Arabidopsis thaliana: one gene and its partner. The protein of the gene in region 1 interacts with the protein of each later gene in a biochemical or structural test. Each region holds a gene or a part of one and is shown in the gene's direction. Other genes may lie near its edges.

Evidence for each region.
Region 2: of the proteins of GSR 1 (region 1) and CRK3, one has a biochemical effect on the other in vitro, tested with the Arabidopsis thaliana proteins (one study listed by BioGRID).

What each region holds. Positions count from the first base shown.
Region 1 is NC_003076.8:14,932,608-14,937,856, reverse strand, and holds GSR 1 (uncharacterized protein), read left to right. Parts: upstream 1-1,971; 5' UTR 1,972-2,200; coding exon 2,201-2,274; intron 2,275-2,682; coding exon 2,683-2,722; intron 2,723-2,810; coding exon 2,811-2,914; intron 2,915-3,016; coding exon 3,017-3,065; intron 3,066-3,144; coding exon 3,145-3,339; intron 3,340-3,421; coding exon 3,422-3,625; intron 3,626-3,701; coding exon 3,702-3,793; intron 3,794-3,873; coding exon 3,874-4,033; intron 4,034-4,130; coding exon 4,131-4,283; 3' UTR 4,284-4,571; downstream 4,572-5,249. Other genes in the region: AT5G37590 (Tetratricopeptide repeat (TPR)-like superfamily protein), read left to right, coding at 5,148-5,249. UniProt on the Arabidopsis thaliana protein: High-affinity glutamine synthetase which catalyzes the synthesis of glutamine from ammonium and glutamate. May contribute to the homeostatic control of glutamine synthesis in roots.
Region 2 is NC_003071.7:19,182,090-19,188,778, reverse strand, and holds CRK3 (CDPK-related kinase 3), read left to right. Parts: upstream 1-1,966; 5' UTR 1,967-2,348; coding exon 2,349-2,891; exon of another isoform or gene 2,892-3,168; intron 3,169-3,681; coding exon 3,682-3,812; intron 3,813-3,999; coding exon 4,000-4,041; intron 4,042-4,144; coding exon 4,145-4,253; intron 4,254-4,342; coding exon 4,343-4,421; intron 4,422-4,508; coding exon 4,509-4,805; intron 4,806-4,889; coding exon 4,890-4,999; intron 5,000-5,088; coding exon 5,089-5,196; intron 5,197-5,286; coding exon 5,287-5,349; intron 5,350-5,423; coding exon 5,424-5,591; intron 5,592-5,673; coding exon 5,674-5,811; 3' UTR 5,812-6,126; downstream 6,127-6,689. UniProt on the Arabidopsis thaliana protein: May play a role in signal transduction pathways that involve calcium as a second messenger. Serine/threonine kinase that phosphorylates histone H3 an GLN1-1.

The sequences.
Region 1 (5,249 bases):
CCAATATAAATTAAAAATTAAAAATTAAATTATGTTATTACTTTGGGTTCTCTATTTTTAATTTCTGATTTATATATCCATCGTTTAAAAAGTAGTTAATTGTTTTCTGGTTTATTCTCTTAAATATTTAATAAATTACATCTTTCCCAAAGCATAGTTAACTAAAATCAAACGATTTTATTATATTTTCTAAATTAGTGAGACATAGAGAAGATATAAAAAAAAAATTATATAGAAGTTCTAAAATTTTCGTATCATTTCCGTTTTGGAGATCCTATTTACAATTTAGAAGAAAATATATTCAATTAAACTCTTAATCCACGCTACATTTTTTTTCTTTTGGTTCCTCTCTCCTTTTAGAAAGAAAATATCTGAATCATCTTAATTCTCTCTCAATCTCCGAACCCTAATTCTCTCATCTTAATCCCCTTTCAGTCTCCCTCAAAATTTAGAATGGAGACTGAGATGAGAGAATTATATCTGACTCTTAGGAACTTCGGTTTCAAAGAAAAATTCGTATCAATAATGACTTCCTGGAGAAGATAAAATTCTTGGTCACTCTCCTCTGAGCCGAAGAGTTTTTTGAATTTCTTGTTTATGATTAGAACTCTTTTGAGACGTTTAACCGGAATCTTGAATTTATATAAGAAGATAGATATATCTTGATAATTTTGTCGAATCAATCGATGTCTTTGGCTTGAACCTTCTATCGAAAGACATTATCGAAAGACATTATGACTTCTCTAAAACTATAAGCTTACAAATCCCACATGTCAGACTTTGTAGTCATCTAATTGGAGCTACGTTGAATTGATACTACAAATTTTGTTCAAATGAAAAGTTATCATATAATTGCAAAGAATATATTAGATGTGTGTTCAATAAATAATTAAATATGATTTGAAATTAACTTTTAACTGTCAAAAATAATTATATTTTTAGAAAATTAAAAAAAAAGTCAACAATTTTAGACTTCAACTCTTACGGTTGTGGGCCGAGTCAACCGATGCCCGTCATAAACGTCCTCTTACATGCTCCCAAAACAAAGTCAACTCAACTATCTAATCGGAATATATATTTGAGTTTCATTATCTTTAATAAAGTTGAATATAAACCAAAAAAACAAAAACAAAAATCTTTGGTTTTAGATAGTTTACTTGGGTTTGTATGGCTAAGAATTTAGAGTATCTCCGGTTTCTTTGGTACTCGTTTTCTTGTCAAGTAAGAACAATATTTTGTGTTGAAAAGTCATTGTGGAAAAAAACCAGAATAGATTCAAGATGATCGAAGATTCGATAGACAAAACAATGACCTTGTGATATTGATATGACACCGTGATATTTTCACAAAATTCCTCAAGGAAAGATTTATTTTGATTCTTGTTTATGATTAATGACCTTAAACCCCATAAAATGATTGGAGAGAAACCGGAGATGTGAGACAAATGGTTTCGATCTAATACTAAATTTAAGTAAGCGAATTTCGTTTAAAAATAATAATCTAAGTAAGTTGCATTAGAAAACAAATACTAATTTCAAGATGATTAGAGTGTTTAATTATGGTTCCACCTAATCACCGTTTAAAACATTATTATACTAAATCTATTGATATATTTTGCACAAATAAAATAATATATCAATTATACTTGTCCGTTTTGTTTTATATATCATTTAAGATTTTTTTTACACATATTAAAAAAAAATATATTGTTATATCATATTATGTTTGTATCAATTAAAATTAATAATTTAAAAATCAATAACACAGAAAATGTAGTATTAAGAATATTAATATTTTTCCCAAATTTTATTTTAGCATTTACAGAAAGAGATTTTTACCTTAAATAATTACATTTCTTTCTCTTTTTATTCCAATGACCTCATACAAAATTGTAACCTGGTGTGTCTATATATGTAAACTTTAATATTCCTGAAAAATATGAGATTCCATTGGGCCGCGAAAGAATCTTTATAATTTTATTCCTGATATTTAGTTGTATTTTTTGTTTCTTTCCTTGTGGAGAGCCAAAAAGTCTCCAAAGTCTTCACGTCACCCTCTTCCTCAATCTCTGCACCCACCCCTCCTCCTTCTATAAGTACTACTCTTCATATCTCTCTCTACCAAAATATCAAAACACGAGACAGATTTGATTCCATTTTTATTACTGTTACTATCATCCAAACCCTTGGTATTTGTAGCCATGAGTCTTGTTTCAGATCTCATCAACCTTAACCTCTCAGACTCCACTGACAAAATCATTGCTGAATACATATGGTTCGTCTTCTTCTTTTGTTTCTTTCATAAAAATCGTTTTTTGTTTGTGTATATGTTCTCGTATCAAACCTAAATCTAATGGGTTCGTGTTGTTTTTTCAACTTTTGACTCTGTTTTACTTTTTGGGATTGTATGGATTATAGTTTTGGTTTTGTGTCTGCCTTTGGTTGTTCTTAGTCCTCTAGAGCCAATTTGGTTTTGTTTATTCTTCAGATCTATGTTTAATTTGCTGATAAATCTATTAGGCTCCTGAATCTGCCAATACTGCAAAACTTTTTATCCCCTGATGATGTTTGCTCTGTTTTTTGGCTCTGTTCTGGCTCTGTTTTTGGCTCTGTTTTTAAACATAACGATTGAATTTTCTGAAATATTTTGTCTCTTGTTGGTGTTCTTTTAATACCAAATCAGGGTTGGTGGTTCTGGAATGGACATGAGAAGCAAAGCCAGGGTAATTTTTCATTCTCTAGATAATCTTGTGAAAAGGTCAACTTTTGTCTATCTCTATTTTTGGTAGTAATTCTGGTTTATATATGTAGACTCTACCTGGACCAGTGACTGACCCTTCGCAGCTACCAAAGTGGAACTATGATGGTTCAAGCACAGGCCAAGCTCCTGGTGAAGACAGTGAAGTCATCTTATAGTTAATAATCTTTCTTTCTTGATCTTAAATCAGATTCTTCTCATTGGTTTTTTTTTCGATTCTTGTTTACTAATCTTTTGTGTTTTGTACATCTTTGTTTAGCCCTCAAGCCATATTCAAGGATCCTTTCCGTAGAGGAAACAACATTCTTGTGAGTTTCTTTTAGTTTTGACCTTTTTTGTTGCAGCCATGCTTTATTACATCCATCTTAACTTAATGGTTTTGATCAGGTCATGTGCGATGCGTACACTCCCGCGGGTGAACCAATCCCGACTAACAAAAGACACGCTGCGGCTAAGGTCTTTAGCAACCCTGATGTTGCAGCTGAAGTGCCATGGTATGGTATTGAGCAAGAATACACTTTACTCCAGAAAGATGTGAAGTGGCCTGTTGGTTGGCCTATTGGTGGTTATCCCGGCCCTCAGGTGAAGAAGATGGATATATAATCGGTTTTGTATCTTTTCCGTTGTCGGTTATTCTAAAATTTTAGGCGAAAATGTATTGCAGGGACCGTACTATTGCGGTATTGGAGCAGACAAATCTTTTGGCAGAGATGTTGTTGATTCTCACTACAAGGCCTGCTTATACGCTGGGATCAACATTAGTGGCATCAATGGAGAAGTCATGCCGGGTCAGTGGGAGTTCCAGGTCGGTCCAGCTGTTGGTATCTCGGCTGCTGATGAAATTTGGGTCGCTCGTTACATTTTGGAGGTAAGTTTAACGTTATAACTTCAATGTTTGTTTATGTAGTTTTTGATTAGTAACACTTAGCTTGTTCTTAAAACAGAGGATCACAGAGATTGCTGGTGTAGTGGTATCTTTTGACCCGAAACCGATTCCCGGTGACTGGAACGGTGCTGGTGCTCACTGCAACTACAGGTACATGTCAAGAATCTCTTAAATGTTTTCTTTTATGGTCTTTTCGCTGATTCATAAAACCAAAATGGTAATTGTTTCAGTACCAAGTCAATGAGGGAAGAAGGCGGTTACGAGATCATCAAGAAAGCAATCGATAAATTGGGACTGAGACACAAAGAACACATTGCTGCTTACGGTGAAGGCAATGAGCGTCGTCTCACAGGACACCACGAGACTGCTGACATCAACACTTTCCTTTGGGTATACTAACAAACATCTTTGCGGGTTTTCGAATAGTAAAAAAGCCGAATTACGATACATTTTGTGATTCTTTTGTGTGTTGGAATGTTGTATGTAGGGTGTTGCGAACCGTGGAGCATCGATCCGAGTAGGACGTGATACGGAGAAAGAAGGGAAAGGATACTTTGAGGACAGGAGGCCAGCTTCGAACATGGATCCTTACATTGTCACTTCCATGATTGCAGAGACTACAATCCTCTGGAATCCTTGATGATCATCAGATCAAGAAAAAATCTTGAATGTCACTCAAATTTGTGTTTCTTGCAAGATTCAAAGTTTGTGTTCTCTATCAAGCAATGTCTTAGGATAAGTCAAAGATTTGCTCTGCTTATTCTGCTTTTTATTTACTTCACATCCTATTGAAAACATTTCTGTGTATTATTTATGAATAAACATTATCTTAAAAGGGCTGATTTATTTACTAATGCATGCATTCACCACTTAAGATCCAGAATTTGTTTTTTTTTTTTTGCATTTTGATTCATATAAGATAACAACTAAAATGAAAATTAATCTGGTTTGCGGGGCAGGCTAGGTGGATCTAAATGTATATTAATATTTTTTTAATTTTTCAAAATAAATATTTCAAATTATATATAAAGATAACTATACTTTTATTATTTTATTTATCTTATTTTAAAATGTTAAATTTAAATTCGTTTTCAAGAATGCTTTTTATAATGTTTTTTTCTAATATTTCATGTAGTAGTATATAAATAGATATCATTTTATTCTAAAACCGTTTAAAATGTTTAGGTTCCGACTAAGCGTTCTAGGCACTAAGCAGAAGGTCACCACCCGTTTAGCACCTAGCGTTTTGTTGAACACTAATTCTAATGCATAATTTAGAATCACTGATTGAACATTTAGCTTGGATTAATATATTTTATTAAAGTTTGAAAATATAGTTAAAATCAATTTTAGTTATTTCGGTTCAGGTTAATTTGGACCAATGAAGAACCGAACCAAATGATTTGAAAGTAATTTCGTCGAACACCTGGTGAGCAACTTCACTATACTCGAGGGTTTAAGGATTCTTCGCGTCTGACAAAACTTGAGGAAGAAAAAAAAACAAATGTCTCTGCTTCGAATTTTGTCGACTCTTTACAAAGGAACTCATCGGACTTCACGTTCCTTCTCTTCTTCGCGGAATCTGATCTGCACCACTTTCGCTAAT
Region 2 (6,689 bases), on another chromosome or scaffold:
TTTGATTGAATAGTTTAGATGGTAAATATTCAGCTGAATGACAAAAAAAAGGTTATATTTCTCAAAGTTGGTTCATGTTTAGGATTAGGCCTAGAAGCGGGTTGATATTGGGCCTATACTGGGCTGAACTGTTTTCCTTTGAAAATTAAGGATAAGATCTACATTGTGAACGACAAGCTGGGCTCGATTGTTTCGGGCTCATAAGGGGATATTATTATTATTTAATCAATTTCTGCAAAATATTTACCAACATAACTTAAAACAAATTCTAACAATTAGGATGACAACAAATCTACCATTTTTTTCGTGGTTTACCATTTGTTTAATTTACGAAGTAGTTGTGAAAATAAACTTGAAAGGAAATATTGTGTCGTATAAGTTATAACTCATTTTTGAATGGTGAATTTGATAAATATTTTTAGACACATGTTTATTATATTATCAAACTGCTGACAAGAAATATATTAATATGAATGAGCATTGACCATTGGACATAAATCCAAACGAAGAGTTCTTAAAACATACGCTATGATATCAGATGACGGTAATAACAAATTAATACATACGCTAAAATTTACAGAAAATACAAGATTTTTTCACTTTCTCTATTTTTTAACGAAATATTTGTCGACTTCTGAGGTAATCGATGTTAGCCTTGAGTTTTGTAATTTGTATAAAAAATGTACTCCAATCACAATAATTTTGGTGTATAATAAATCCAATTAAACTAAACAAATGCATGTTGTTGGACTTACTTTAAGTCGGTTCAATATTTTGTAAAATACCATAGAATATTGAAGGTGGATTCTATTCCCCATTTACATTTATTTATTTTCCTTCTATTTTCGACATACTTTAAAATTATATTATTACCCATTTGTTCGGCTTTATGGACAATTATTGGTGTAAATGACCATATATTTCCTAATGTCTGCTGATACAAACAAACGGTAACTTCTAAACTTTCAATTTGTTTAATTTATTACATCAAGGTTTATCTTTCAAAATAAATTTAAAGAAAAACTGCTTCTTACCTATTTGATAAGTTGATAGTAATGTTTGTGTTAAATCTCCTCATAGACGTCGCTTTACCTATTAATTACCACTATAATTTAATTTCATAATTGGATTTAGTGTCACCCTAATTTTAGTACGAGAGATCTCTAAAGAAAAAAGTGAAAACACAATCACAGAAAATTATTACAATTTTTAACAAGATTCTAGTATAAAACATATTGATTTCAACGTAAAGAAAATTTAATCACAAAGAAAAAAAACAATAACTTTGTAATATTGTATCTCCGTGTGATTGCTTTACACATGGATTTATTTAATTAATTAACAGATAAAACATATTAATTCCAACTTCTTCTTTCTTTCTTTTTTGGACAAAAATTTCAACTTTTTTTATAATATAACTTTTGTGTCGAAAATATATACTTTTCCTGAAAAAGAGTGATAACTAATTAAAAAAAAAATGTTTAGAAGTACAAAAGAAAAGTATTGTTTCCAAATTCGAGAAAAAGCTGTAATCACGCCCTTGTGTTTAATTCTCAATAAATCACATTTAAAAGCGATTTTTTTAACGGCCCAGATATTGTCACGTAGGATAACGTACTCCGTATATTCTCCATTTCCGAACCATCCGACCAGGTCGCATCATATGTTGTGAAAAAATCGTTATGGAAGAAACTCTGTTTTAGTTAGATCCAATAATATTAAGCCACGTGGAATTGATGAATCCAATCTTCTTTATAAACTCCGTTTTCGGAATTTTGATTTTGTTTAAAATGTCTTACAAATTTATATAAGGAAACGGCAAAAGAGCCCAAAAAGTAACAAAAGACAAAACAATTAAAGGAAAAAAGAAAGAGTCAAAAGAACTCGAACTATCATATAATAAGAAAAGAAAAAGACATAGGACAAAATAAAATATATTCATATTCACAAAACACAAAACAAAATTGTTAATCAAATAGTATAAGACTAAAAATGCCTGATTAGGGGAAGGTAGTTGTTGTTGAATAGTGACTAGAACGAGTTAAATGGTTTGAGATCTCCAAGTTTACATTTCAACATCTCAGATTTTAATCCAACGGTTCTCAATCCTTCTACTACGTAAAAACACCACCGTCCCCGTTCCGTTCCGTTCTGTTCTCTCTGTCACTTTTGTCTCTTCTAAGTTTTTAACACTTACCTTGTCGTCTCTGTTCTTCTTCTTCTCTCATTCCTTTCGTTTATCGTTTTCTTCTTCCAATTTTGGATCTCTCTTCCTTTTGATCTGATTCGTTACTTGCTCTATGTTGCTTCAATTTTGAATTCTTTTGATTTTTGATTGTGTGGGGGAGATGGGGCAATGTTACGGGAAGGTTAATCAGAGTAAGCAAAATGGTGAAGAAGAAGCTAACACGACTACTTATGTTGTTTCCGGCGACGGGAATCAGATTCAGCCTCTAACTCCGGTTAATTACGGTCGAGCTAAGAACACTCCAGCTAGGTCATCGAATCCGAGTCCTTGGCCTAGTCCTTTCCCTCACGGATCAGCGAGCCCTCTTCCTTCTGGTGTTTCTCCTTCTCCGGCCAGAACTTCCACTCCGAGGAGGTTTTTCCGACGGCCTTTCCCGCCGCCTTCTCCAGCCAAACACATTAAGGCTTCTTTGATCAAACGTCTTGGAGTGAAGCCTAAGGAAGGTCCGATCCCTGAGGAGAGAGGAACTGAGCCGGAGCAGTCGCTTGATAAGAGCTTTGGTTATGGCAAGAATTTTGGTGCTAAGTACGAATTGGGGAAAGAAGTGGGTCGAGGGCATTTTGGTCATACTTGTTCTGGCCGTGGTAAGAAGGGAGATATTAAGGATCATCCTATTGCTGTCAAGATCATCTCCAAGGCTAAGGTTTTAAATTCTCAATCTTTTGAACATCTAGTTTTTGATTTTGGGATTGCTTGCATTGGTGTTGAATTTTAGCTTATATTGTGATTTGTTTGTTGCTGATGCTGCTACAAGAATCTGTGGAGGGTTTTGAAATGTGGAACGAGTAATGCTTACATTTTCTCGTAGTTGAGGTAGTGAAAGTAAGATTCTTGGGTTTGGATAATGGCTGTGGGACAGTGAATTGTCTTTTTCTTCCAGCTGAGTCTCTTGAGACAAACAATGTTGTCTCTTTTGATAGGTAAATTTTTTGTTTGGCAGTGAGTTGAGTAGACAAAAATGTGAACTTTTTGTTGATTTGTCAGCATTAGGACAAGGATAGTCATCAAAGAATGAGTTTCATGTACTAATGTTTATGAGCTTTTCTTCTGCAAACATTTGTTTGTTCGAAGCTTGTAATCACAGTTAGGTTACGTTTTGATTACTTAGCTGTTGATTTTGTAAGAATGTTATGGTGTTACATGTGATATTTGTTGTCTGTTTCATCCTTTTTTGAAAAGATGATTCATGAAAAACGTAACTAGAGAAGTCTTTGTCTGGCTGCGTCCTGGGGAGACCATAATCTGACATTCCTTTTGTCTGCATTAGGACACAATGTTTTATGTATGGGCTTCACTTTTGAAAGCTCATGATTTTGGCTTATCTTTGTAATGAAGCTGGTCTGACACATTTTGGTGACAGTTGTGCTATCCTTCTCTCTAATAGAACAAGCAAAAAGGATTTGTTGACTGAATTATCTTTCTGTACTTGGCAGATGACAACAGCAATTGCAATTGAAGATGTTCGCAGGGAGGTGAAGTTACTGAAATCATTATCTGGACACAAATATTTAATCAAATATTATGATGCATGTGAGGACGCCAATAACGTATACATAGTCATGGAGTATGTCTTGTTTCCATTTTTTTTTATCAGATATTTGATGTTCTCTCTTCCTCAGGATTTTGGCTGTTACTTAAATGTTGTAACACAGAACATCACTTCTGAACTGCATTTCTTTGAACATATCTCTGTAATCAGACACACCTTGTAAACCAGTTACTTAAATCGATGTTTGGTTCTGCTTGACCAGGTTGTGTGATGGTGGAGAACTTTTGGACAGAATTTTAGCAAGGTATGTCTGATTACTCTTTTAGGTGTTTCTCTGCATATGCCTCAAGTTAAATGCTGAGAATTTATTCATATCTATGCTCAAACACTGCATTCTCTTGTCTCAGGGGTGGTAAATACCCGGAGGATGATGCAAAGGCGATTGTCGTACAAATTCTAACTGTTGTTTCATTTTGTCATCTCCAAGGAGTTGTGCACCGTGACTTAAAGCCAGAGGTCTGTTTTTACAAAGAAAACTTTCCCTATCTCTACCTCCAGTAGCATTACACATCATTACTAAACACTCCTGTTACCTTGTTCAACAGAATTTTCTATTTACATCAAGCCGCGAAGACTCAGACTTGAAACTTATTGATTTTGGTCTCTCAGACTTTATTAGACCTGGTAAGACTTTTCATTCTTTCAGGCCTTGTCACTATACTTTCCTTATAGCTGCCTACTAGTGAAATTTGATTGAATTCCTCAATGCAGATGAAAGACTGAATGATATAGTTGGAAGTGCCTACTATGTCGCGCCTGAAGTTTTACACAGGTCATATAGCCTTGAGGCTGATATATGGAGTATTGGAGTTATTACATATATACTCTTATGTGGAAGCCGACCTTTTTGGGCACGGACAGAATCTGGAATCTTTCGCACTGTACTAAGAACTGAACCAAACTATGATGACGTACCTTGGCCTTCTTGTTCATCAGAAGGTAAAGATTTTGTGAAACGACTTCTCAACAAAGACTATAGGAAGCGAATGTCTGCAGTTCAAGCTTTGAGTGAGTTTTTTTTTTCTTTTTTTGACACATCATTGAGTTATATTATTTTGAACATTACAGAACTAATGATATGTTTATTTTCAGCTCATCCGTGGTTACGGGATGATAGTCGTGTGATTCCTTTAGACATTTTGATCTATAAGTTGGTCAAAGCCTACTTGCACGCGACACCTCTTAGACGAGCTGCTTTAAAGGTATGACTTTCTTCTTCTTCTTCTTTTGGCACAAAGTTGGTAAGAGTTGATTTAGAAGATTGAAGCATATGTTTAATAATTGAATCTAGGCGCTAGCAAAAGCATTGACCGAGAACGAGCTAGTCTATCTTAGAGCACAGTTCATGCTGTTGGGACCAAACAAAGATGGTAGCGTCTCTCTCGAAAACTTCAAGACGGTAAGTTACTTAATCTGAAGGAAGGCCTTTGGTCAATAGTCACATCGGCTTTTTTAAACTAAAAAGGTTTAATAAGCTCCATCCTCGCAGGCGCTTATGCAAAACGCAACAGACGCAATGAGAGAATCAAGAGTTCCTGAAATACTTCACACTGTGAGAACCTGAGAACAAATTTGAGAGAAAAATGAATCAATCTTTTGGTTTCTAATGATCATCTGTTTTGGCAGATGGAATCTCTAGCGTATAGGAAGATGTATTTCGAAGAGTTCTGTGCAGCAGCAATTAGCATCCATCAACTAGAAGCTGTTGACGCGTGGGAAGAGATAGCAACGGCAGGTTTCCAGCATTTTGAAACCGAGGGAAACCGAGTGATCACAATCGAAGAACTAGCAAGGGTATGGTGTTAAATGTAATCCTCTCGATTCATAGGACCGGTGTTTGGCTTCGGAACTGAATTTGACTCTGGTTATTGAACAGGAACTGAATGTGGGTGCGTCTGCGTATGGACACTTGAGAGATTGGGTAAGAAGCAGTGACGGGAAGCTGAGTTACTTAGGGTTCACTAAGTTCTTGCACGGAGTTACTCTTCGTGCTGCTCACGCAAGACCTCGCTAGTCCTTCTCTAATTTTAGGTCTTTTTCTTAATATTTTTTTTCTTCATCAGAACAGAGCAAATAGACTTCTGAGAGAGGTGAGGGGTATTTTCGTCCGTTTGTTTTGTTCTTTATCGTATTATAGAGTTTCAATTTTATGGTACAGAAAAGACCAAAATGAAAAAAAGATATAAACATGTGCATAAGGTAGATGGGTTACAGTCATTTTTTTGCAAGTATAATATATGAACATCTATGGTTCAAGTAGTCATATTGTATGTCAATTGCTTTTAACTTTTACATTGTTTCCTCTAAGCAAATCACTTCATCATCATCATCTCCATTACAACAAATCCTTAAGAATATCATTCATACCATTAAAGAGGTCTAGCATCTAATCAAACGATTTTCAGGCCAACTACTAATTCTACATAAGGCTATTATGAAGGGTTAAAACTTAAAAGCAAAAGACAATAAAGTAACGCTGTCCTAATCAACAAATTAAAAAATGAAATGAAAAGTGATAAAACAACAATTAGTGATAACCCAAAAAAAAGCTAAGCCTTTCCTTTTCTCAAATGGTGCCGACAATCGAATCATAACCATTTATTACAAATCATGATAGTGAGATGAGTGGGTTCGATCGTACCCATTAGTCTACGGAAAACAGGCACTCTACAGGTGTGATAGTATATATATACAGCCCAAATCATGATACTTTTCGCTTTCTTAAACTAATTGTTTCACAAGTATATATGTTTTAATTTAGATAGTTATATTTAATATAAATGAGATTAGATTGTAGTACTGCCCATATTTTTTTGTAGAATGTATACAAACTACAAAGATATCAGTAAGAAGATAGGATCTTCTTGGTTTCATCCTTTTTACTGTGTGATA